Linked DNA regions of Saccharomyces cerevisiae S288C. The gene in region 2 interacts genetically with the main gene of each other region. Each region holds a gene or a part of one and is shown on either strand. Other genes may lie near its edges. The genes, in order: PWP1, SCP1, HOT13 and UBX3.

Region 1 (6,066 bases), on a different chromosome or scaffold from region 2:
GAACCAAAAACATTAGATGGTTCCTCAGAGTAATTGTCAATTCTAGAGGCCATAGAACATTTGTTAGCCAAGTATCTAGAAATACGACCCTTGTTCTTGGCAGAGGCCTTAGAAATAAAACCACTGTGGTAAATCAAACCGTATTTTGGAGTGTTACCTTTAGTTTTTAAAGCTCTGAACAAAGCCTTTTCAGCACCAAGAATTTGAACCGTTGAAGCTGCTTGCTTAGATAAATTAGTTAGGGAACCTGCGTGAGAAATTAATCTAGCACCAATCACTTCACCAATCAATTCTGATAAGTTTGGTGCAACAGTGTGCATTTTTTCGCATAAGTAATCGTATAATTGTCTTCTGTAATCAGCTAAGGAAGCGACTCTCTGAGCGAAAACACAAACATTTTCCATATCGGTTTCTGATATATCTTGTCCCATGGAGATACGGGCATTGTCAATGACTCTTTGTGCAATTCCCGAATCCTCATTCAAAAGAGCAGCCAAATCATGTAAGGAGTCATCGTTTAATGAAGCTTTGTCCTTGATAAAAAGAACCAACTTGGCAAAAGTGTAGTTGTCTGGTACCAATTTAGCCAGTTCGGGGAAATGCCAGCCATACCACTCTTTAACTCTCATAGCAAAAGTGTTGATATCTTTATCTAATTGATCTAATAAAGCAATAGCTTGAATGATGTGATTGTCGTTCTTTTGAACAGAGAACTTCACTTTAGCTCTGGAGTAAGCGTGACCTAAACCTAATTGGGCTCTTTCTAAGTCACCAGATTGTAGACCTTTGAATAATTTTTCGCCATGTAATCTGACACCACGAATCAAATCCTGAGCAAGTTCATTTGAAATACAATCAACATATGGAAATTCTTCCTTAATAGAAGGACCTAAGTTTTTATCGGAAATAGCCAAAGTAATGTTCTTCTTTTTCGAGGAAGCCTTTGGTAAGTTTAAATCCAAGATAGCTTTCAAACTCTCAGAGACTAAACCTTCTGATATGTCGTTAGCATTTTCAAGGGCTTCAGCAGCACCTTTGAATGGCGCGAAAGATACAAGTTCGATTAACTTTGTAAAAGCACCAAAATCATTGATTTGCTCTTGAACTTCTTTTAATCTTGAACCAATGTCATCTTGTTGCAACTTAACCTTGAAAACTGCGTAACCAGTAGGTTCTTCAAACAGTAGGTATTCAATAGGAGCCATCTTTCACTAAATACTGTTCTGCACGCTTCTTCTCCTAGAAATATACCTTCCAAAACACTTTTAATAACTACTTAAAAAACTGTAGACACTACGCAATTGCACAAAATTTTTCATTTCCCATCTCATCACTCAAAAAAATTTCACTTTGAAAAAAAAAAAAAAAGAAAATTTTCACATCGCATTCTACGAGCGTATATATGCCGGGTGATATAAAAAAGTTACACAACTGTAATTCACCACATTGTCATCATATGCTAAATTATACCGTAACAGCACATATTAATGTATTATATTGTTTTTTTCTGAGGCTCCTCTTACACTAGTATACAGTATTATCTTCTATAGATTTTTTATTTGTACTTGCAATGTACTCTGCTTTAATATTTTTCATATCCAGATTATGCCATGTCATCATGCTCATCTCCACCTTCTCTTTCTTCTTCATCTTCACCTTGATCATCAATGGTTATAACAGTATCTGGGTTATCGTTACTGGTGTATTTTCTGGCGATTCTTGAACTTTTTCCTATTTTTTGGGCTTCTTCTTTTGCTCTTGCTTGAACATTCTCTAGTTCACTTTTAAAGCTCTTACGTACAGATCTATTGGTAAAAACGTCCCATAGTTTCAAAACTTTATTGACACCACCAATGACCATGGTACCCGCTACCTCGATGTCTGGAGCGAATGACGATGTCAATACATTTCCGACATCGAAATCACGAGACAGAACCATGCTTGGGCCCTTAGTGTTCGTAGCATCATCCAAGGGGAATTTCCATAATTTGACAGTCTTTTCACCCATGGCCCCTGTACTCATCATACCAGGGATGAATTTGTTTGAACATAATGTGGAGATACCAGCATCGTGTGCCTTCAATGTCCAAACTGGTTTACGGTTTTCATTGTTTCTAATATCGAAAGAATACACATTACCAGAATCAGTACCACATAATATTATATTTTCACTGGCAAATGTAACAGTTTCTATTTCCTCACCTGCCATGGCAGACCAGTATTTACTCATTTGACTTTCGTCAGAAATTCTAACATCTGTTAAAGCTACTCGAGAATCATAACCACCGGTCAAAAGAATGGAACCATTCAACATGTGCCATTCAGATGATGAAACATTTTTGTTTGAATGAATGGAAGCTAAGGAGCGGGCTGCGTTACCTGAGTTCAAATCCCATAGTTTTACGGTATGATCTGCAGAGGTGGATGCTAAAACGGAACGGAAATATTTGTTGTGTGCCATGGATAAAACAGCATCGGTATGATGAGTAGTAATGTGTCCAGTCTTAGACTTCTTCTTCTTCTTTTTGCTTTTCAAAGACACCATTGAATTATCAAGAGGTTCACCCAGAATCATATCGGGAAAGGCCTTGTCAACACAGTCCAAGTTCCAAATTTCAATTTGTGGATCAAACGTACCAATGGCAGCATAATTGGCTGCTTCTTCGGAATTGGATCCAACCTTGTAGTCAAGCCACTCAACACATAGTGGAAAAGCAGGCAACATTAAATCATGGTGAACGTAAAGTGCAGGGTCACGAACCAATCCACGAGCAACATCTGGGTCAGCTTCATCACCTTCTTCAACGGGAATATCGCTACTGTGGAACCCAGCACCGTCATCGTAAACGTAGATATCCAAATACGAAACGTCATCTTCTGTTCTCGCAGCAAGAACTAAATTATCGGATGGGTAAACTTGTAACTCCTGCTTCTCCTCTTGACTATCCTCTTGATTAGGCAATGAAATATATGGATCTTCACCTTTTTCACCCTCATGGAATTTAACATCGCTATCATTACTTAAACCCGGGAACATGGAAACGTCTTTACCACCCTCATTATCTGCAATTTCCTCATCGTCATATTCTTCCAGGTTATATTCTTTCAAATCATCATCTATATCCAACTGATCCTTCAACTTATTAGAACTACCTGTTGCGGCGTCATCTTCAACACCTGATTCGCCTTCTGCTTCTTCCAAAGTAGCTTTAGCATCATCCAAATTCAACTGTGCTAATTGGTTAATTCTTTCCACTTCCTCATCATCCAGAACATACTTTTCAGGAAATTCCGAGGAAAACCCTCTTGGAACCCAATTAGTAGCAGAAATCATTAGTTATTTTGTTTTTTTTATTCGTCTTCTAAGTTTCCAAATAAGGAAGGCGTAATAGACTCAACTGAGGGTACACTTGCTATCGTTTACAAATTAAAACTCTTTGCTTCTTTCAAACTCATCTCAGCTCATCGAGACAAATTTTTCACTTCTTTTTTTCGAGGGCGAGAAAATTTATTACCCGACTGGATATAATATATATAGAATAATACATATGATCAACTCAAGGTAGGGCCTATGGAAAAGTTTTACAACGGACAAGGCAATTAAATTGAATTGCACGATTCTCTAATTTTTTATTCTTGCAGATTTGTTTCATGATAAATTCGCCAGTTAGAGTTCTTATTATGGGTGGGTAAGAATTCAGTTAACGTTTAAAATTCTCAATATTAATCGCAAAGTGGAAAGCAAAGCAAAGTCTCACTAGAAATTGCAGGCGGACTATGTATAATTACGTAATAGTAGTTCTTGCAACAGAGGATCCTTTCGACTCTTTTGAAAGGATACTGTCATAAAACAATAGGATAAAATAATTTCAGCCGTTGCTCATGATAAAAGTAATTCACTATAATTGAAGATGATATGTGTTGCACGCTTTTTAGAGAATGATCTGTACAATAGCTCTGGTTGTCATAGAGCTTCGGTAGTAAACGTATTTATAGAATGTCAGAAGAGGATAAAGCGAAAAAATTAGAGAATTTATTGAAGTTATTACAGTTGAATAATGACGATACTTCAAAATTCACTCAAGAACAGAAAAAAGCTATGAAAGACCACAAATTCTGGAGAACGCAACCGGTCAAAGATTTCGATGAAAAGGTGGTGGAAGAAGGCCCCATTGATAAGCCAAAGACACCGGAAGATATATCTGACAAGCCACTACCTTTATTGTCTAGCTTCGAATGGTGTAGTATTGATGTGGACAACAAAAAACAGCTTGAAGATGTTTTCGTTCTACTAAATGAAAACTACGTGGAAGACCGCGATGCAGGCTTCAGATTTAACTATACCAAAGAATTCTTCAATTGGGCTTTAAAGAGTCCAGGTTGGAAGAAGGATTGGCATATTGGTGTTCGCGTTAAAGAAACACAGAAATTAGTTGCCTTTATCTCAGCCATACCAGTAACACTTGGTGTTAGAGGTAAACAAGTGCCTAGTGTAGAAATCAATTTCTTGTGCGTTCACAAACAGCTAAGATCGAAGAGATTAACACCTGTTCTAATTAAAGAAATTACGAGACGAGTGAACAAATGTGACATCTGGCATGCATTGTACACGGCAGGTATTGTTTTGCCAGCACCTGTGAGTACGTGTCGTTATACTCATCGTCCCTTGAATTGGAAGAAACTTTATGAAGTAGATTTCACAGGGTTACCAGATGGGCACACAGAGGAGGATATGATTGCTGAGAATGCGTTACCGGCCAAAACAAAGACAGCGGGATTGAGAAAATTAAAGAAGGAAGATATTGACCAAGTTTTTGAGTTGTTCAAAAGATATCAATCCAGGTTCGAACTAATTCAAATTTTCACAAAAGAAGAATTCGAACATAATTTCATTGGTGAAGAATCGTTACCATTGGATAAACAAGTAATTTTCTCATATGTAGTCGAACAGCCCGATGGAAAAATTACAGACTTCTTCTCATTTTACTCATTGCCATTCACAATCCTAAATAACACAAAATATAAGGACCTAGGCATCGGGTACTTGTATTATTATGCCACCGATGCAGATTTCCAATTCAAAGACAGGTTTGATCCAAAAGCTACTAAGGCTTTGAAAACAAGATTGTGTGAATTGATTTATGACGCTTGTATTTTGGCCAAAAACGCTAATATGGATGTTTTTAACGCGTTGACTTCGCAAGATAATACATTGTTCTTGGATGATTTGAAGTTCGGGCCCGGTGACGGGTTCTTGAACTTCTATTTATTTAATTATAGAGCAAAGCCGATTACCGGTGGCTTGAATCCCGACAATAGTAACGACATTAAAAGGCGTAGCAATGTCGGTGTTGTTATGTTGTAGTGGCTGAAAGGACGAGGCGTATATAGTTTTCGTGTACATAGCCGACAGAATTTGACCACATTTAGTTTTTCCGCATAGTCAATTGACGAAGTGAAAAAATAATTAATCCAATGGCTGGCTTTAGAGTGTCAGCCTCCAAAATAAATCCAAAAATAGACAAAGAGAATCACTATAATTACCGCCTTGGAGTCCAAGTTGGCTTGAGAACTCGCATTTATTTTTAGCGACTGAGGTAGCTGAAAAACGCCTACTTTCTCAGAAGGCGGTAGTGAGCATATATAAGTATGTAAGAAAGATCAACTCTTCTGGACTAGATACTCACCGATCTAGTGAAAATATAAACAAACCCAACATATATATAAAATGAAGGCCTGTTCCATATTATTTACCACCTTAATTACTCTAGCCGCTGCTCAAAAAGACTCTGGTTCCTTAGATGGCCAGAACTCTGAAGATAGCTCACAAAAGGAAAGCTCAAACTCTCAAGAGATCACACCTACCACGACAAAGGAAGCCCAAGAAAGCGCATCAACTGTAGTTTCTACCGGAAAAAGCTTAGTACAAACTAGCAACGTCGTCAGCAACACCTATGCTGTGGCTCCAAGTACCACCGTAGTGACGACGGATGCACAAGGCAAAACCACGACACAGTACCTATGGTGGGTGGCCGAAAGCAACTCTGCCGTAAGCACAACTTCAAC
Region 2 (5,021 bases):
AAAAACTAGACTATATATTATTGAGAAGAAAAATGTCTGACGTTGAAGAAGTCGTTGAAGTTCAAGAAGAAACTGTTGTTGAACAAACTGCCGAAGTTACTATCGAAGATGCTTTGAAGGTTGTTTTGAGAACCGCTTTGGTTCACGATGGTCTAGCTAGAGGTTTGAGAGAATCTACCAAGGCTTTAACCAGAGGTGAAGCTTTATTGGTTGTTTTGGTCAGCTCTGTTACTGAAGCTAACATTATCAAGTTGGTTGAAGGTTTGGCTAACGACCCAGAAAACAAGGTTCCATTGATCAAGGTTGCTGATGCTAAGCAATTAGGTGAATGGGCTGGTTTGGGTAAGATCGACCGTGAAGGTAACGCCAGAAAGGTTGTCGGTGCCTCCGTTGTTGTTGTCAAGAACTGGGGTGCTGAAACTGATGAATTGTCCATGATCATGGAACACTTCTCCCAACAATAAACGGTGTGATGTTCATTAGTACTTTTTCTAGAGTTAGATCACATAATAATATATAGTTAAACTTTTATTTAATTGTAAGTTATATGTTATAAAATTACCAAATGCTGAATGAAGTTCTGCGTTTTCTGCGATGCTGGATATTGACTTAAAAAAATATAGGAATATCCTTTGTTGGATACTTGCAGTGATTCTCTTCATCCTCACTTTCCCTGTTTTTATTGTTTTCTTCTTCAGATGGTAGTTTAATTTTTTTCCCATTCAATTGCAGCAAGTTGTCATTTGAAGTTTCATTGCCTTTATCTGTACCATATCTTTTTCTTATAGTTGATTTTTTAAAACTATTACGATTGCCAAGTTCATTAGTCTCCATCAGGAGTTCTATTTCTGTCTGTGCTGCCTCATCTATGGATTCTTTTTCTAGCATGCAAACCTCAATTACTATACCGGGATAATCCTTGGGTAGCTGCAGTTGGCGAATACTACCTGGTCGATTATTTGAAGGTCTTGTAGTATCAGTGATAATGACATCGTCTGTTTGACTTAGAATATTTACACTCAATACGCCATGAACATCCATCCTGAAAAGGACTTTGCTTGCAATTTTAGTACTCTTTCTGATTTTATCAAACGAGGTGAAATCGAAGAACCCAATTACAGCAAAACCATCTATTACTGTTGTGGAATCTCCGTCAAATACTTGTAACTTCTCTAGTATGGATCTGTTACTGGGTAATTTTATTTTAGAAAATCCTAGCTGAGATTTAGATATCAGGGCAAATACATTCTCATCATTCGCCTCGGTCTTTGCATATACATAGCACTCTTTGCATCCGATTTCTTTTAGATCCTTTAAGGCTGAATGAAGGGCTTCGCCCTTAATAATTGCCTCAAAGCTTATCCTTTCTCTATCGAGTTCTAGTCCATTAGTATCAAAATCCTTAATTAAGTAGGTAGAGTACTCCACTCTCTCAGAAATGAACGAGTCTTCAAATATTAGTACAAATGGTGATCCATGTCCATCATAAGATAAAGTACACTCAACAATGTCATCCGAATTCCTGTTCATCACGCTAACGCTATCTAAGATATGATTTATTTTTACACAAAGTTTCATGTGATCCTCAGTTTCATTTCTATACGAATAAGACATAAATAGCTCCCGAGATAACAGTAGTTGGATTTTTATCACATGATTATTCTCCCTGACAAATGACAGCCCATCAGCATCAATGAATATAAGCACATCGTCTTTAGAACCAAAAGGTGTTAAACAACTTAAAGCAGTTGTGATATGTTCTAAGTGCACCGTTGAGGCAGAAAACTTGTTCGCTAGCTCACTGTTGATTCGCATAGTTGAAATCCTTCAACTACTTTGTTTCCACACCGTTCTGTGAGATTGATTTGTATAATCACATTTTTACCGGTAACGTTAACTTTTGTTACGCGTCTCTAGCCACCTTAGTGTTTATGTAGGAAAACTTTGATGGAAAACTAAAATATATCAAAGGAACTTTGGTTGCGTATATAGGGTTCTTAAATGTTTATTTATCAATTTCTGCCAGAGAAAGTGTTAATAATAATTCTCTAAACTATATCTCTCCGTTGTCCTAACACCACTCCTTCAGTAGCCTGAGATGCACCTTTCATATAACCGTATTCAAAAGTGCTCCATCCAGTACCATCTTGTAGATGTTTTGGTTTAGACTTAACCGGGGGTCTTGGCTTCTTTGTTGACAGTTGTGGTCCTAGAACTGGAAATCTATCTGTATGTTTTTTGTTGGCGTAACGAGATAGTGACTTCAACGTTTGGAAAACAATGGCAGGATCCTTTTTCTCAAAAAGATCAATTGTCTGAAACAGTTCATCTTCAGGCACACCATATTTTCTCGAAAATGATAAAAATTGGGAAATTTGATCCATTTGAACAAATGGCATTTTAGAGCTCTTCCAACTAATATGGTTAGCTTCTCCTGTGTCTGCTTCATATAAAATATTTGCCAGCTTACATAGGACTGTTCCATCTTTCAAGCATTCCAATAAGTCTCCAGGAGGAGCTATCTCTTTTAGGACAGATTTATATACCCATATTTTGATATTTTGAATTGCTTCCGGTGAAAATTTGCTTTCTCTTAGTTGTCTCAAATCTTCATCTAAGGATGTGACATCTGCCTTCTTATCGTAACTCATCGGTAAACTTTAGCTGTACGCTTACAAAGAAGTCATTTACTTAGACACTACTTATATCTTAGCTTTACTATTTGCGTTTATACTCCTTTTGGAACTCCACGGATGTCCAATTACACGTGATGAATGGGTGTTCAGCATATGTTACAACTATAATGCATGACATGATGAATATGTAGTGGTAATCCATGCTGTATTTTGTTATTACTGTAGCATGGTATTGATGCATTTTTAATTTTTATAATGCTGCTATGGAGCGATCCATATCGACGACAGCTTTAGTTCATGGCGGTCCATTTATATTTTTGTGCCCGAATTACTGACACATTTAAAAAATGATGCAGTGTCAATATTTTGGAAGGATGATGAAGCAAAGTCGTAATGCTATTTTAAATAATATTTAACCTCTCTGATTTATAGATGTAAAGAGAATAAGTATGCTTCCCATTAAAGTCTTCTCTTTATCTCGGATTTTTGTTTTGCTAGCAATCTTCCGACAAATACACGCTATTTCCATTAACAGCTCTACTTTCCAGGTTTCTAACTCTTTTACACTACTGAACAACGCATCGACTCTATTCCCAGTACCATTTGATGCATATACTAAAGAATATCTAAGGACTTCGGCTCTGTTGACTTGTGCTAAAGACTCACAGTTTTCTGCATCGTATTTCGAAGCTGCTTTTTTCCCGAGAAATAATACTCTATTCTTTAATGTTGAAGCACAAACAATTATGAGCGAAAACATAACCATCAAGGCAGAATTGATTGCATATGGTCTCAATGTTTATACCAAAGTTTTTGATCTATGTGGAATCCAAGATAATTTATTATGTCCGTTGAAGCCGGGAAATATAGAACTCATGGGAAGTTATTATGTTGAGGCCGCGGTAGCTAGCCAAATACCAAGCATAACATATAATATACCTGACTTAGACGCATATATTGTGGTGACAGCATACTCCACTATTGATAAAGAATTTACCAAACCTCTAGCATGTGTACAAGTGATGTTATCAAATGGTAGAACAGTCCAAACAGAGTATTTATCGTGGAATCTAGTGATATTGACAATTTCCGGAATTATGTTTTCAGTGGTTTATTCTTTGCAAGGTTATACGGTTACTTCAACAAGACTGGCGTCTTATTCAATATCGCTACTTTTATATTTCCAAAATTTGGCTATTTTAGCTATGATTAGTGTATCATTTTTACCGCCTATTGTCGCCGCTTGGACTCAAAATTTCCAATGGTCAATGGGAATAATAAGGATAAATTTTATGCAGCGGTTATTTGACTGGTATGTTGTCGCAACATCTGGGTCCCCCACCGTTGTATACCGCAATAAAGAAGTTTTATCGATCAGTGTTCAAAAAAGATCCTTGAACAGTAAAATCATATCAGCGTCAAGTAATTTAAATGGTATTGAAAGTTCCCAAAAAAATGATTTATTATACACTTCAAATTTGAGAAATTCAAATGACTATCTGTCAAAAATTTTAGTATTAAGAGGTATTAAAAGGGTGTCTTACAAAGCTGGAATTGAGATATCAAATTTCTTTTTAACGGGATTTTCCTTCTTTATCATATTCATTTGTATGATAATATTGGCGTTTATTATCTTCAAAACATTTTTGAAAGTACTTCAGAAGTTTAAAGTTAAGACAATTAGATATTTACACTTCCACACACATTGGAGTGCACTTTTACAGGGGACACTATATCGAGCGGTGTTCATAATTTATTCTGAGATATCTCTTTTAGCACTTTGGGAGTTCACTCAAACAGACTCAGCAGCTACCTTAGTGGAGGCAATCGTTGTTTTCATTTTGATTACAGTCTTGTTATCATCCGCAAGCGTAAGAATATGGAGGAAGATGATCAAGTCTAAGAAAATATTTGGCCAGCCAAGCTATTTACTCTTCAGTAGCTCGAAATTCTTAAACAAGTTCGGCTTTCTTTCCTCTCAATTTAAGTCTACAAAAGTCTGGTGGTTAATGGCGACCTCTGCACACATGCTTATTAGGTCTATACTAGTGGGTTCTCTACAAGCGCACGGAAAATCTCAATCTATTGGTATCTTTTTGAATGAAGCTATCTATCTCATCCTTTTGTGCTGGATGCAACCTTACATGGATAAAACAACCAACTTCTTCAATATTAGTATCCATTCACTGAATTTAGTGAACGCATTTTTTTTCTTATTTTTCAGTAACTTATTTCAGCAGCCCATAGCTGTGTCTTCTTTTATGGGACTAATTTTCTTTTTTCTAAATGCAGCGTTTTCTTTGTATCTCTTCATTTTCATATTGATATGCTTTACGATGGCAATATACTACAAACACCCTGATACAAGATACAAACCTATTGATG
Region 3 (4,986 bases), on a different chromosome or scaffold from region 2:
AGTAATTCACTTGAGGAGCGCCTTCGTGCTAATTCAAGCGCCTTCGATGGTTTATTGGCTTTAATTCCTGCAAAATACTATTATGATGAAAAAAGTCAAGAGCAATGGAAGGCCAAGAAGAAAACCAAAGAACAGAGTAAAAATGATAAACTGAAAAAATTAGACCCGGAGCAACGTGATGATGAAACATCTAGTACATTAGAAGTAATGAAGAAGAAGGAGAAAGACGCAAAGCCGGTGGTCCTACCTGGTGAAAAATTCAAGCACATGAAAATGCAAAAGCAAAAGGAAGCAACATCAAAAGTGGAAGGAGACTCCGACCTGAACGTAGAAGTAAACGATCCTATGATAATAGCACCAGACGAAGATGAAGAAGAGGAAGAGGATATTAAGGTGATCTTTGATGATGAGGGAAATGAAATACCATTAGAATCTAAAAAAGATACTACAGAGCCCGATAGATCTGTCGAAAAGAAGTCTATTACAGAGGAAGAGAAACTACAAAGAAAGAAAAACTTGGAAGCACTACGTTCCAAGTTACAAGCGAAAATTTCAGATATGAAGAGTAAAAGGAAAGCACCCGGTTCTAGAGAGGCTATTCTTGCTCAAAGGAAACGCAAGGAAGAGTTGAAAAAAAGAAAGCGTCTAGAAAGTGAACAGGAACAGGATCAGGATGAAATTGCGTCTGATTCCGATATGGAAGACATCGATAGTGATTTAGAAAACAATTCGAAAAAAAGATTCAAAAAAGGCAAGAAGGACTCAGAAATTAACGCAGATGGTGTAATGTTTCAAAATATCATATTCGATGATGGTGCAAGGGCCACTTCAGATTTACAAAGGTTAAGAAAAGCTGGTAGAACGAAGGGTCCGGCTAAGAATGATGTAAAATCACACTTAAAGTTATTAGAAGCCAAGAAGAATAAGATGGAGGCGAAAGACGAACTAGAACAAATCAAGCAGAAGGAAAAGGAAAAATGGCAAAAGGCTATGTTACAAGCAGAAGGAATTAAGATTAGGGATGACGAAAAACTACTTCGCAAAGCTATAAAGAGAAAGGAAGCACAAAAGAGAAAGTCTGCGATTGAATGGAGCGAACGTAAGAGGGTTGTGGAAGACACGATATCTGAAAGACAAAAGAGAAGAGAAGAGAATCTGAGGATTAGGAAAGACAACAAGGGTAAAAAGAGAAATAAGCAAGAAAAGATGAAAAGAAAGTATGTCGGTAGTGCCGTACCAAAGAAAAGAGCCGGATTTGAGGGTAGATTAAAAACAGGTAAAAAGAAGGGAGGACCTAAATAATAATCACGATAATAATAACAACAATAATAGATATATATATATGTATGAACATATATATACAGATACATATATATATATATATATCTATATATATACCATCGCATTTTTTCCTTAACGAGAAGAGCACAGCAGAGCTTAAGATGGCATGCATTTATAGAACAACACTCAACACATAGCGGGGGGAGGGTTCTGGAAATACAAATGGTAGTGCAATTTACAGCCTGGATTAAAGGGGGATCTGCAATTGGGACAAATAAGGTTTGAATTGTAGTCGTAATACTCTGCAAACGTCATTTCATGACGGCAAACTCCGCAAATAATCAAGTGTTTATTTGCATCGTCAAGGAGATCATATTTTTCTAGCGGGTGAGAACTTAACTCTTGGTGGCATTCAAAGCACGCATAGTACTTATCACAACATTTAAACCTGATGGCAATTACATCCTTTGGAAGATGCCAGTGGACACATCGAGATTGGTCATCCACTGTCTTACCATAAATGGCAGTTTCGATCATCTATATTTGCAAATTGTAAGTGGTACGTATTTTTTTTTTTATATCATATATGTATATTTAAAGAAACTCGTAAACCGAAACGTTTATTCATCATTATCATCATCATCATCATTATCATCACCATCACACCGCGCGCGCCTATTTAATCATTTTTGTTTTTCCTCGTCTACGGAAGAAAAAAAGGTGTAGGAGCAACGAATAGCATGAATTTTTCTCTAGTTGATTTTTGGCAGTTTCCTTCCTTTCAATTGGCTAAATATAACAAAGAATTAAATAAAAAAGATGTCGTAATCTCATGATGGCGAGTAGTCTTCCGTTCTTATTAGTAGAATTTTTTTTTTTTTTTCCCTATTTTTCACTCTATTTCTGATCTTGAACAATCTATTTACTAGCAACAAAGTTGACACCCTTTTCGATATTCTTCTTCAAGGTTTCTTTACATTTTTGTAGCATTTCTTCTTCTTCTGAAGATAACTCACCTATTGGATGGATCTTTTCAATACCATCTGGGCCCAAAGTGACCGGAGATGCAAAGAATTCGATGCCTTCGGATTTGAACAAGGGAGAGTCCACGAAGGAAGGCTCGATGACGTCTCTTTCGCCTTTGAAACCGGACAAAACAGCGTTAGCGAATTTAGCACCAGCATGGGCCATTGACAACGTAGCAGAGCCAGCACCATTCTTTGCTTTGACGACTTCGTCACCACCAAACTGTATTCTGTGAATCAATTCGTGTCTCTTGTCATCAGACATCAACTTATGGTTTGTTTGCGAAATCAATGGGATGATGGTAATACCAGAATGTCCACCGATGACGTTAACCCTTTCCTGAGTTGGATCGGTGTTCTCGACTTCTGAGATGAATCTGGCGGCTCTAATAGAGTCCAAGGTAGTCACACCGAACAATTTCTTTGGGTTGTAAACACCCTTGTTTTTCAAGACTTGGGCGACAATTGGAACGGTAGAATTGACTGGGTTGGAAATGACCAGAATGGCAGCATTGGGAGCGGATTCGGCGGTTGCTGCTGCCAAATCGCGAACGATGCTTGCGTTGATGGCGAACAAGTCATCACGTGTCATACCAGGCTTTCTGGGCACACCAGCAGGAATTAAAACCATGTCTGTGTCCTTTAAAGCGTTGTTCAATCCGTCTGGCTCTTCTGGAGTAAACCCCTTGACCACGGAGTTTGTTGGAATATGAGACAAATCGGTGGCAACACCTTTTGCGCCCTTTAGGTCGTACAGTCTTAAGTCCGTGACTTTATGGTTAAGCTTTAGAAGCAAAGACAATGGTTGTCCAATACCACCGCCTGCACCCAAAACAGTCACTTTATAAGGGTTGGCAACTGTAGAGGAAAACGCACGTTTAGCTACTCTTGACAACATTGTATATGGTATCCTTCCTTTTCCTTTTGTTTTTTTTCTTCCTTTCCGTAGATGTCCACGTATAATATATTGTATATCTATATGTGTATTCGTTATCTTAAGTGGAGGAATACAGTACAAACACCCAATGCGTGCTAACACTTCTTTTTAAAGCGCAAGCTATATATATTGTAATATCCGCCATTGTATTATGGCAACTTTTTTTTGTATTTTTCTGGGAATCCGCTTGGCGCGTGATTGAGCCAATGAACGCTGAGTGAATGCCGAGAAGGGGGGGAGAAGCTGGCAGGAAGGCCCAACCGCCAGGTCCCTTGTACCTCTCCGGCGCCGAGGGTCGCACAAACTGCTAGTGCCTACTCTAGTTGTTGAATAAGAAATTGATTAATTAAATTGAGGGATTTTGTATTAGTGAATTATAATTTATCTATGTTTCTTATGTAGTGTTATTAGCGTAATCATTATTCGATGTCGAGACTGCTGCCCAGGTACATGCGGATTTGGCGGGGAGTGGCCGGTAGCACCCTGCAGCGCACGGGGAAGGCGGCGTTCTGCGTTTCGCGAGCCCGGCGGTCGTATGCCTGTAGACGGTGGCAGCCGCCGAAGGCATAATATAGCGTCTGTCCCTTGACTCGCACGCCCAGCACGTCCACGGGCGGCAGTTCCCCGGCTGAGGCAGCCGCCTCAGCCTGTTCTAGAGAGCATGTCTTGCTAGCGGTGGGAATGCCCTTCATTGTGGCCACCATTGCGTCGATCTTTTGAGGATCCAACACAGGCGCTAGGGGGCGTCTGATCTCTGAGAGAGGAATTTCTGTTGGTTTTACACTGTTGCTTTGTAGTGACATATTGTTCTTTTTTTACTTGGTTTTGTAGTTTTTTTTTTCAGTAAGAAAAGTATATATAGCTCATTGATGGTAGATATTGTGGTTTATATACAACACCTCTTGACATGTATTGCATCGCATCCTTACCCAACAGGGCTACTGTAATGACTAAAAATAATGGCGACTTCTGGGCCGGCCTTCTAAAAAAAAGGGACCCGCAACGGGTAACGGCATATTTTTTTCGAAATCAAAGTTCCAGCTTTTCGATGTTTGTAAGCCTTCTAAGACAGAAAGATGTAGTATAAATGATGTAGCTTACTAATCAGGGAAAAAGCAATCGCTAGTATTGCAGAGGCCAAAGGCTTAAGCATCACATTTCGGTAGTAGTAAATAGTTTGTTAGTTCACGTGCTTTTCATTCGTCTCTATTTTACATATTATGATGTCTTCAGACCAACAGGGGAAATGCCCCGTAGATGAGGAAACCAAAAAGTTATGGCTACGAGAACATGGCAACGAAGCGCATCCTGGTGCTACTGCCCCAGGCAATCAACTAGAGTGCTCTGCAAACCCACAAGATAACGATAAAACGCCTGAATATCACACCACGGTGGATCTCTCTCAGTCCAGAGAGGTTTCCACCATACCAAGGACGAATTCTGACAGAAACTGGATATACCCGTCGGAGAAACAATTTTACGAGGCAATGATGAAAAAAAATTGGGATCCGAACTCAGATGACATGAAGGTGGTTGTGCCTTTACATAACTCCATCAATGAGCGGGTTTGGAACTACATTAAAAGCTGGGAAGACAAGCAGGGTGGTGAAGCGTGTGGCGGTATCAAATTAACAAATTTTAAAGGTGATTCCAAAAAACTGACACCAAGGGCCTGGTTCAGGTCCCGTATCTTGCACCTGGCCAAACCTTTTGATAGACATGATTGGCAGATAGATAGATGCG
Region 4 (6,114 bases), on a different chromosome or scaffold from region 2:
ATAGAACACGATCCTGTGGAAGGGAATCTTGAATTTGATTCTACCAACCATCCTGACTATGATGTATCTAAAAAGGCTTCTGAAATTTCAGTTAGCTCAAGATCTGACAGAGAATACCCACTATTAATCAGAATGTCTTATGGCTCGCATGACAAGAAAACAAAATGCTCAACAGTGGTAAAAGCAAGTGAGTTAGATCAATTTTGGCAAGAGTATTCATCTGTATTTAAGGGGGGCATGCAGAATTTGATCAAGAAGAAGAAAAAGAAGAGTAAGAACGGTACCATCAGTAAGACAGGAAAGAAAAACAAGGTAGCGAAGAAAAACTGATGCACGTGACACTTGAGTCAAAAGGCATGTGCGCCTCTTGTTATCTTTGGATGTGTAGATTAAAGGATGGCAACGTAGATATAAAAGATTAATTGCATAAAGTTGTGTAGATATAAATTTAACTAAACTTTAGAATAAACGTTTTGAGATGACTATTTTTGAAATTCCTTTCATTCGTCCAGGCGTTCCATTACAATATTTCCTGATGGATATATGCCGCTAACGTCAGATATTTTGGTAGATAAATCAAGCTCTCTTCTTGGTACCGGCGTGATCAATTTGAAGCTATACTGGTGCTGATAATTAGCAGGTTGGTATACGGGTAAAGTATCGTTTTCTGAGTTCAACATGTCATGCAACTGTAATTCTACGAAGGCATATATCTCCTCCGTTGGTAGAGATGCGTCAAACTTTCTCACTAATCTCTGCCCATTTTCTAGTCTGATCGCAACTTTGCTTGCATCTTTATCAGAAGAGGGTTCGGGTTTTAGTTGGCTTTTTCTCCACAATAGCCATTGGTTTTCTATTCTTTGGTGCTCTCTTTCCATTTGTTCTCTTTGGGTCTGTTCCAATCTTTCTGATTCTCTTTGTTGATCACGTCTTAAGGAATCCTGGTATCTTGAATCCTGTTGTTGTCTTATTAATCTCTGCATTTCAATATTTTGTCTTTGCTGACGCAATTGAATTAATCGAGAATAATTCTTGGAGAATATGGCCTCCAAATCTTGGGCTTTGTAGTTAGAAATAGAACCTTCAACTCTTGCTATTAACTCTATTTTTTTCTCAGCCTTTAAAGAAATTATTCCAAGTAGGGGATATTGCCTAATTTTTAATGCATTGGAAACTTGCAACCCCTCGGATGTAGTAACGTCACCATACCATAGTAATACCTGGTACTTCCTTATCATGTTAACAAAGGCTTCTGAGCACAATATTTTATTAACGTAATCCATATGATTATCCAACAATGGGTCATGTAAATAAATGACTCCAAATTTCACTTGTTCGCTACAAGCATCCAATAATTCAGTGTAACTATTTTGCATAATGCTTTTGGAAAATGTTCCATTTTCAGGGTTGTATAAAGAACCAAAACTAAACTGGACCCCACTGCTCTCATTGTTGCTCGTACTGTCAGTATTGCTGCCATCATCATTATTCCCGTTACCTTCAGAACACGTTACAGCTTGAGCTTCGTTTTCTAGATTTTCTAAAAGACGGTGTAATTGGGAACTGTGGTCTAGTAAACGGTTGTGCTTCCTCTGGTAGAATCCGTGAAGTCTTAATAGAGGTTTTAAAAGACGTGAACTTCGGACAATGAAATTCAATAAATAATAAAGAACTATTAGGGGAGCTTGAAATAAAAAATGGAGTATTGATTTTAAGCGTCCATCCCGGCTCTGTGTGGGTTCATTTGTATTGCTGTTTTGATCTTCTGTCCTTCCATTCAAATCAGCAGGTGGTTCTTCTCTAAAAGCACCTGGGATTCGAATAAAGGAATCATCATTATTTCCAAAAGTATGCCTAAATATATCCATGTTTAAAGGGTATGTTTAAATCGCAGTCAAGCCGATTGATGAGGTACAACAAAATTTGGGAGTACGATTGCCCGCTGTTTTTGAACTTACTCTCACTTTTTGCTTCGTATGTAATTAAGCAAGGATGTGTTACAATAAGATTTCGCTTTGTTATTATCGTTTTAAAAGCGGTCGCCGAAGTGTCGAATAAAGGACAATGATAACGTAAAGAGAAAGAAATTGGAAAGAGACTGACCGCTAAGGAGATTGAATACATATATATAATAGTATGTGGTTAACTTGGAGAAGATAAATTGGATTTAAAGTAGTGGATAATTTTTCTTACATTTTCTATTGGTAAACCATAGACAGGGTTGACATCAGTAAGTTTCGATGATCCAATTAGGCGGTCTGGAGTACACTTAATATTATGTGGAGAATCATTAGGAGTGCAACTGTATGAACTTTCCGCAACAGCCAGTCCTAATAGGCAATAATTTGTATGGTAAAAGTCTGAGTGGGCCCCTGGTTTATCTCTCAAACCAGGTTGCTCTTTTTCTTGGCAACAGTACAATATGTAGTCCCGAAGAGCATGTTTGTTGAAGCATTGGCCATATCCAAAAGCTTCAAGAATGGCAGCCGAACCTCCAACCCAAAAACTATAGCAACCGTCAACAAGTTTGTTGCTCCTTCCGCAAAATCCTCGTTCTTCTTGCAATTGACGAGCACTAGACCATTCTAAAAGCTTTTCAACATTTATTTGGTCCATGGACCTTAAAATTGCTAGACTAGCTGTAGCACAGAAAGTATAGCCTCCGTGTGCCTCATCTACGTGAGGACAACTGCCGAATCCACCTTCATAATTTTGACAATTTTTCAAATAGTTTAACACACCTTCTGTAAGCTCTTCTGTAAGAATATTTAATAAGGTTGCTATGCTCAAGGCACAGTATATACCTCTTGTATCCACTTCTCCGACTTCTAAACAGGTCTTGAATCCTCCATTAGGCTCTTTCAACGATATCAGCCATTGGTAAATTCCTTTTCGATCAATTCTGTCCCAGCATCCATCTATGTTATCGCAAAGGGAGAGAGCATTAATTGCAGCATAAGTGCTGGCCAAATGAGATAATTGGCCAGGACCTCCACCAAAGGGTCCTCCTGAAGGACTAATAGTAAAGAGCTTATCTACAATTTTTCTTTTGGTGTCATCTGAAAGCCAGTCTCTGTCCATTACCTTCAATGAGTTAGCAATCCAATATAGCATCCACGGTTGTGAAGCATCTAGTGCTGTCATTTGTGGAGGTAACGATATCTCAAAAGCGACATCCAAGTACATTTTGTGAAACTCTTTCGTGAGAGCAGGTTCTATATTCTTTTCATCATCGTATATCTCTAATACACTTTGTAGTACTTTGTATCGTGCTTCTGTAGTGTCGGTTTCTAGTTCCTTCATCAATGGTTGGATTGCTTTACTTGAATCTACATGCGCTATATCGACGACTCTTTCCATAACTGGTCTCTTTCTTCCTAATAAGGCAGTATTTATAAATTTAGCCCTAGCTATGGACCTTCCTACTCTCTGTCGCATACGCTTTGATTGCCTATAGCTTTACAAGCACTGCAGTTGTTTCTGCATAAGAACGGCGATGATATGGACCCTTGCTTGGTTTATCCTAGCCACTTTCGCGTGTTTCAGTTTCAAGCTTTCCTAATCAGGCAACAGCTTATACGAAAAGATTAATAAGTTACAATGTTAAACAGTTTCGCTTCAAGACCTCTAACGTTAGCCAGAAATAATAAGAATAGGTGGATTAAGTTACAAGTGTTTTTGTCCTCCTACTTAATCAGAACAGAGCACGGGAATAGTGATCTCTTTCAATAGCGAAAGGAGGGAAAAATAGCCCTGCAATATATAAAGGAAGAAGTTAACACCGTATTAAAAGGGGTGAGGCCGTTGGGACAAGTGGTAGTTTCCTTAAAGTCTGGTTTGATTGACAATATTTAGAAGTTAGTGAAACGAACAACCTAAAAAACTTTGTTGTGCAGTAGAGAGCTTTACATTTACCTTCGGCAGTAAAATGGGTTCAAATGATTTGATAAATGAAGCATATGACGACTCGGAAGTAGTTGGTGAGGAAAGAGAATCAAAATCTGCATGGATGAAGAGGTGGTATCAGCTACTTACTTCTCCTTTAGACTTGCAGTTGGTAATAAATGAAAAGTTAGAAATGATCAACTGGGATGCTTATGCTAAAAGTCTAGCTAAGCCATTAGGGAATTTTTTAACAATACTTTTTTTTATCATAAGACTCTTGCAGGACAATTTGATCAAGCCCAACTATTACAAACTAAACGTCAAGTCTGGCGCTTTCGATCTTTCTAAATCCAATAAATTAAAAGAGTTTGATTATCTATGGGAGATATCATCCAGCTTTCAAAACAATAATCAATTTTATGCATTTCAATCTTGGTATTTTGTTACCTTAAGGTTTTTGAATAATCTTTTCAGGTTTACTATTTTCATACTGCTGTCCCTGAACCTGTACGTAAGCTGTAAATTCATGTTTGGATACTTTAAGACTTACAATCTCTTCCATTTGAAAAAAGAGTTCAACTCCCCAAACCTCACTAAACACAACTTGAAGGATCTAAGCAAAGAATACTATGAAGATATTTATAAGCAGTCCTTGTGGTCTATGTTGAAGCATTTTTTCAGAGGATCTCGTGATGACGGTCCTCATGTTAATCAAAATGAAGATGAGATATTTTTTCAGTTAAGAAAATGGATCCCCACTAACTTCATGATTAATCTTTTTGTGTCTTTTTCACCAACGGCAATTGTTTTTTTAAGCTTTTCTGATGTTTCGTTTACTTCAGCAATTGCTATAGTATTCCATCAATATATTCTGGATTATATCATAACTAAGAGATTTCAAAGAAGCGTGGACGACGACTTGATTTTATCAAGTGCAGCTTTGCAAGAATATGAGGACAAGCATATAATGGCACGAATTAACCAATGCAGCAATATAGATACTCTATCATCTGCAATGGGTACTAGATCTAAAACACCGAGAATATTCACCACTCACTCCCTATGTGGCGAAGAAATCAGAGAGGTTTATAATTATGAAAAAAGGGAATTTGAGGCATTACCGAAAATGACAGAAAGTGTGCCAGGATCCCGTGAAACCAGAATAAAGGATTATGGAGGCATTTCTCAAGTATCTGACCATCAAAGTCATCCCATTGGTTTTCATTATTCTCCTAGAATGTCCCCATATTATAGGGATAAAGTTTTGGATAACAATTTGGCTCAATCATCGTCAAATGAAAATTTAGAGAAGGGCGGAGCTTACCTGCCGAATCAAGACCAAAATAGACCATCGAAATCCCTGAGCCCATTGAGAAAAACGCCTTTAAGCGCACGACAGAAAAGGTTTGAAGGCTCAGAGTTCAATGTATTGAATAAGAATGATATTAATTCCATTCTTCGCTCTCCAAAGAAAAAGAAGAACTATCACAAAAGATAACGTTTCTTAATTATGTCTAAGTATATACAGTTACGTAAAAATCAATAAACAAAAGTAAAACAATGCTGTTTGAAAAGTTATCAAAATAATAAATGTATGAAGTATTGTAAATGTTCATGAATAATTAGCTGGACGATTTCTGTTATAGGTCATTCCAACCAAATAACCAATTACTCAGTTTGTGCGTAAAACCAGCAGGTTCATTATTTCTGTATTTCGCTTCTTGCTGACGCATTTTCGATTCTAGGTTTCGCAACAGATTAGGAATATTCGAATTCGGTCCTGCATTTTGCATGAATGGCAATTTGCCATCTATTACATCCAGCCGCTTATTCGGAGAATTTGCTACTATTGGACTTGAAATATTTGTTGGATTACCAGCATGACCGGCAGGAGTATTATCGTCTTCCCTCAGAAGAGTGCCATCAGTTATTATTACGTTTGGTGGGGATGGTGTATTAGATGTCGACGATGTGGAGGAATTTTGATACATAGAAACGTTGAATTCTCCAATGTCGTCGACATTATCAATTTTGCAGCCAGCTAATTGCTCCACCGCATTTTTTGAATATGGGATGCAACCAATCAAAGAACCGCGAAATATGGTTCCATTTTCCTGCAGTGCTCTCAAAGCAGAAGATGGAGAATTATAAGTGAGTTTGACCCAACTTTCACCAGTAAATATTGGATATTTTTTGTTATTCGACTCATTATTTCTGCCTTTTAAAGTA

What was found.
Region 1: mutations in SCP1 (region 2) and PWP1 together harm fitness less than expected from each alone (positive genetic interaction), as found in Saccharomyces cerevisiae (one large-scale study listed by BioGRID).
Region 3: mutations in SCP1 (region 2) and HOT13 together harm fitness more than expected from each alone (negative genetic interaction), as found in Saccharomyces cerevisiae (one large-scale study listed by BioGRID).
Region 4: mutations in SCP1 (region 2) and UBX3 together harm fitness more than expected from each alone (negative genetic interaction), as found in Saccharomyces cerevisiae (one large-scale study listed by BioGRID).

The regions. Positions count from the first base shown.
Region 1 is NC_001144.5:541,236-547,301, reverse strand, and holds PWP1 (rRNA-processing protein PWP1), read right to left. Parts: upstream 3,335-6,066; coding exon 1,604-3,334; downstream 1-1,603. Other genes in the region: snoRNP complex protein NOP56, read right to left, coding at 1-1,205; glycylpeptide N-tetradecanoyltransferase NMT1, read left to right, coding at 3,998-5,365; NCW2 (Ncw2p), read left to right, coding at 5,729-6,066.
Region 2 is NC_001147.6:1,023,637-1,028,657, reverse strand, and holds SCP1 (Scp1p), read right to left. Parts: upstream 2,652-5,021; coding exon 2,049-2,651; downstream 1-2,048. Other genes in the region: 40S ribosomal protein eS12 RPS12, read left to right, coding at 33-464; RAD17 (Rad17p), read right to left, coding at 610-1,815; YOR365C (putative flavin adenine dinucleotide transporter), read left to right, coding at 3,086-5,021. UniProt on the Saccharomyces cerevisiae protein: Has actin-binding and actin-bundling activity. Stabilizes actin filaments against disassembly.
Region 3 is NC_001143.9:277,341-282,326, reverse strand, and holds HOT13 (Hot13p), read right to left. Parts: upstream 1,819-4,986; coding exon 1,468-1,818; downstream 1-1,467. Other genes in the region: ribosome biosynthesis protein RRP14, read left to right, coding at 1-1,302; malate dehydrogenase MDH1, read right to left, coding at 2,200-3,204; SRX1 (sulfiredoxin), read right to left, coding at 3,663-4,046; cytochrome c1 heme lyase CYT2, read left to right, coding at 4,464-4,986. UniProt on the Saccharomyces cerevisiae protein: Required for the assembly or recycling of the small Tim proteins in the mitochondrial intermembrane, thereby participating in the import and insertion of multi-pass transmembrane proteins into the mitochondrial inner membrane.
Region 4 is NC_001136.10:292,892-299,005, forward strand, and holds UBX3 (clathrin-mediated endocytosis regulator UBX3), read right to left. Parts: upstream 1,869-6,114; coding exon 501-1,868; downstream 1-500. Other genes in the region: RNA-binding signal recognition particle subunit SRP14, read left to right, coding at 1-330; RAM1 (protein farnesyltransferase), read right to left, coding at 2,143-3,438; NUR1 (Nur1p), read left to right, coding at 3,929-5,383; FG-nucleoporin ASM4, read right to left, coding at 5,526-6,114.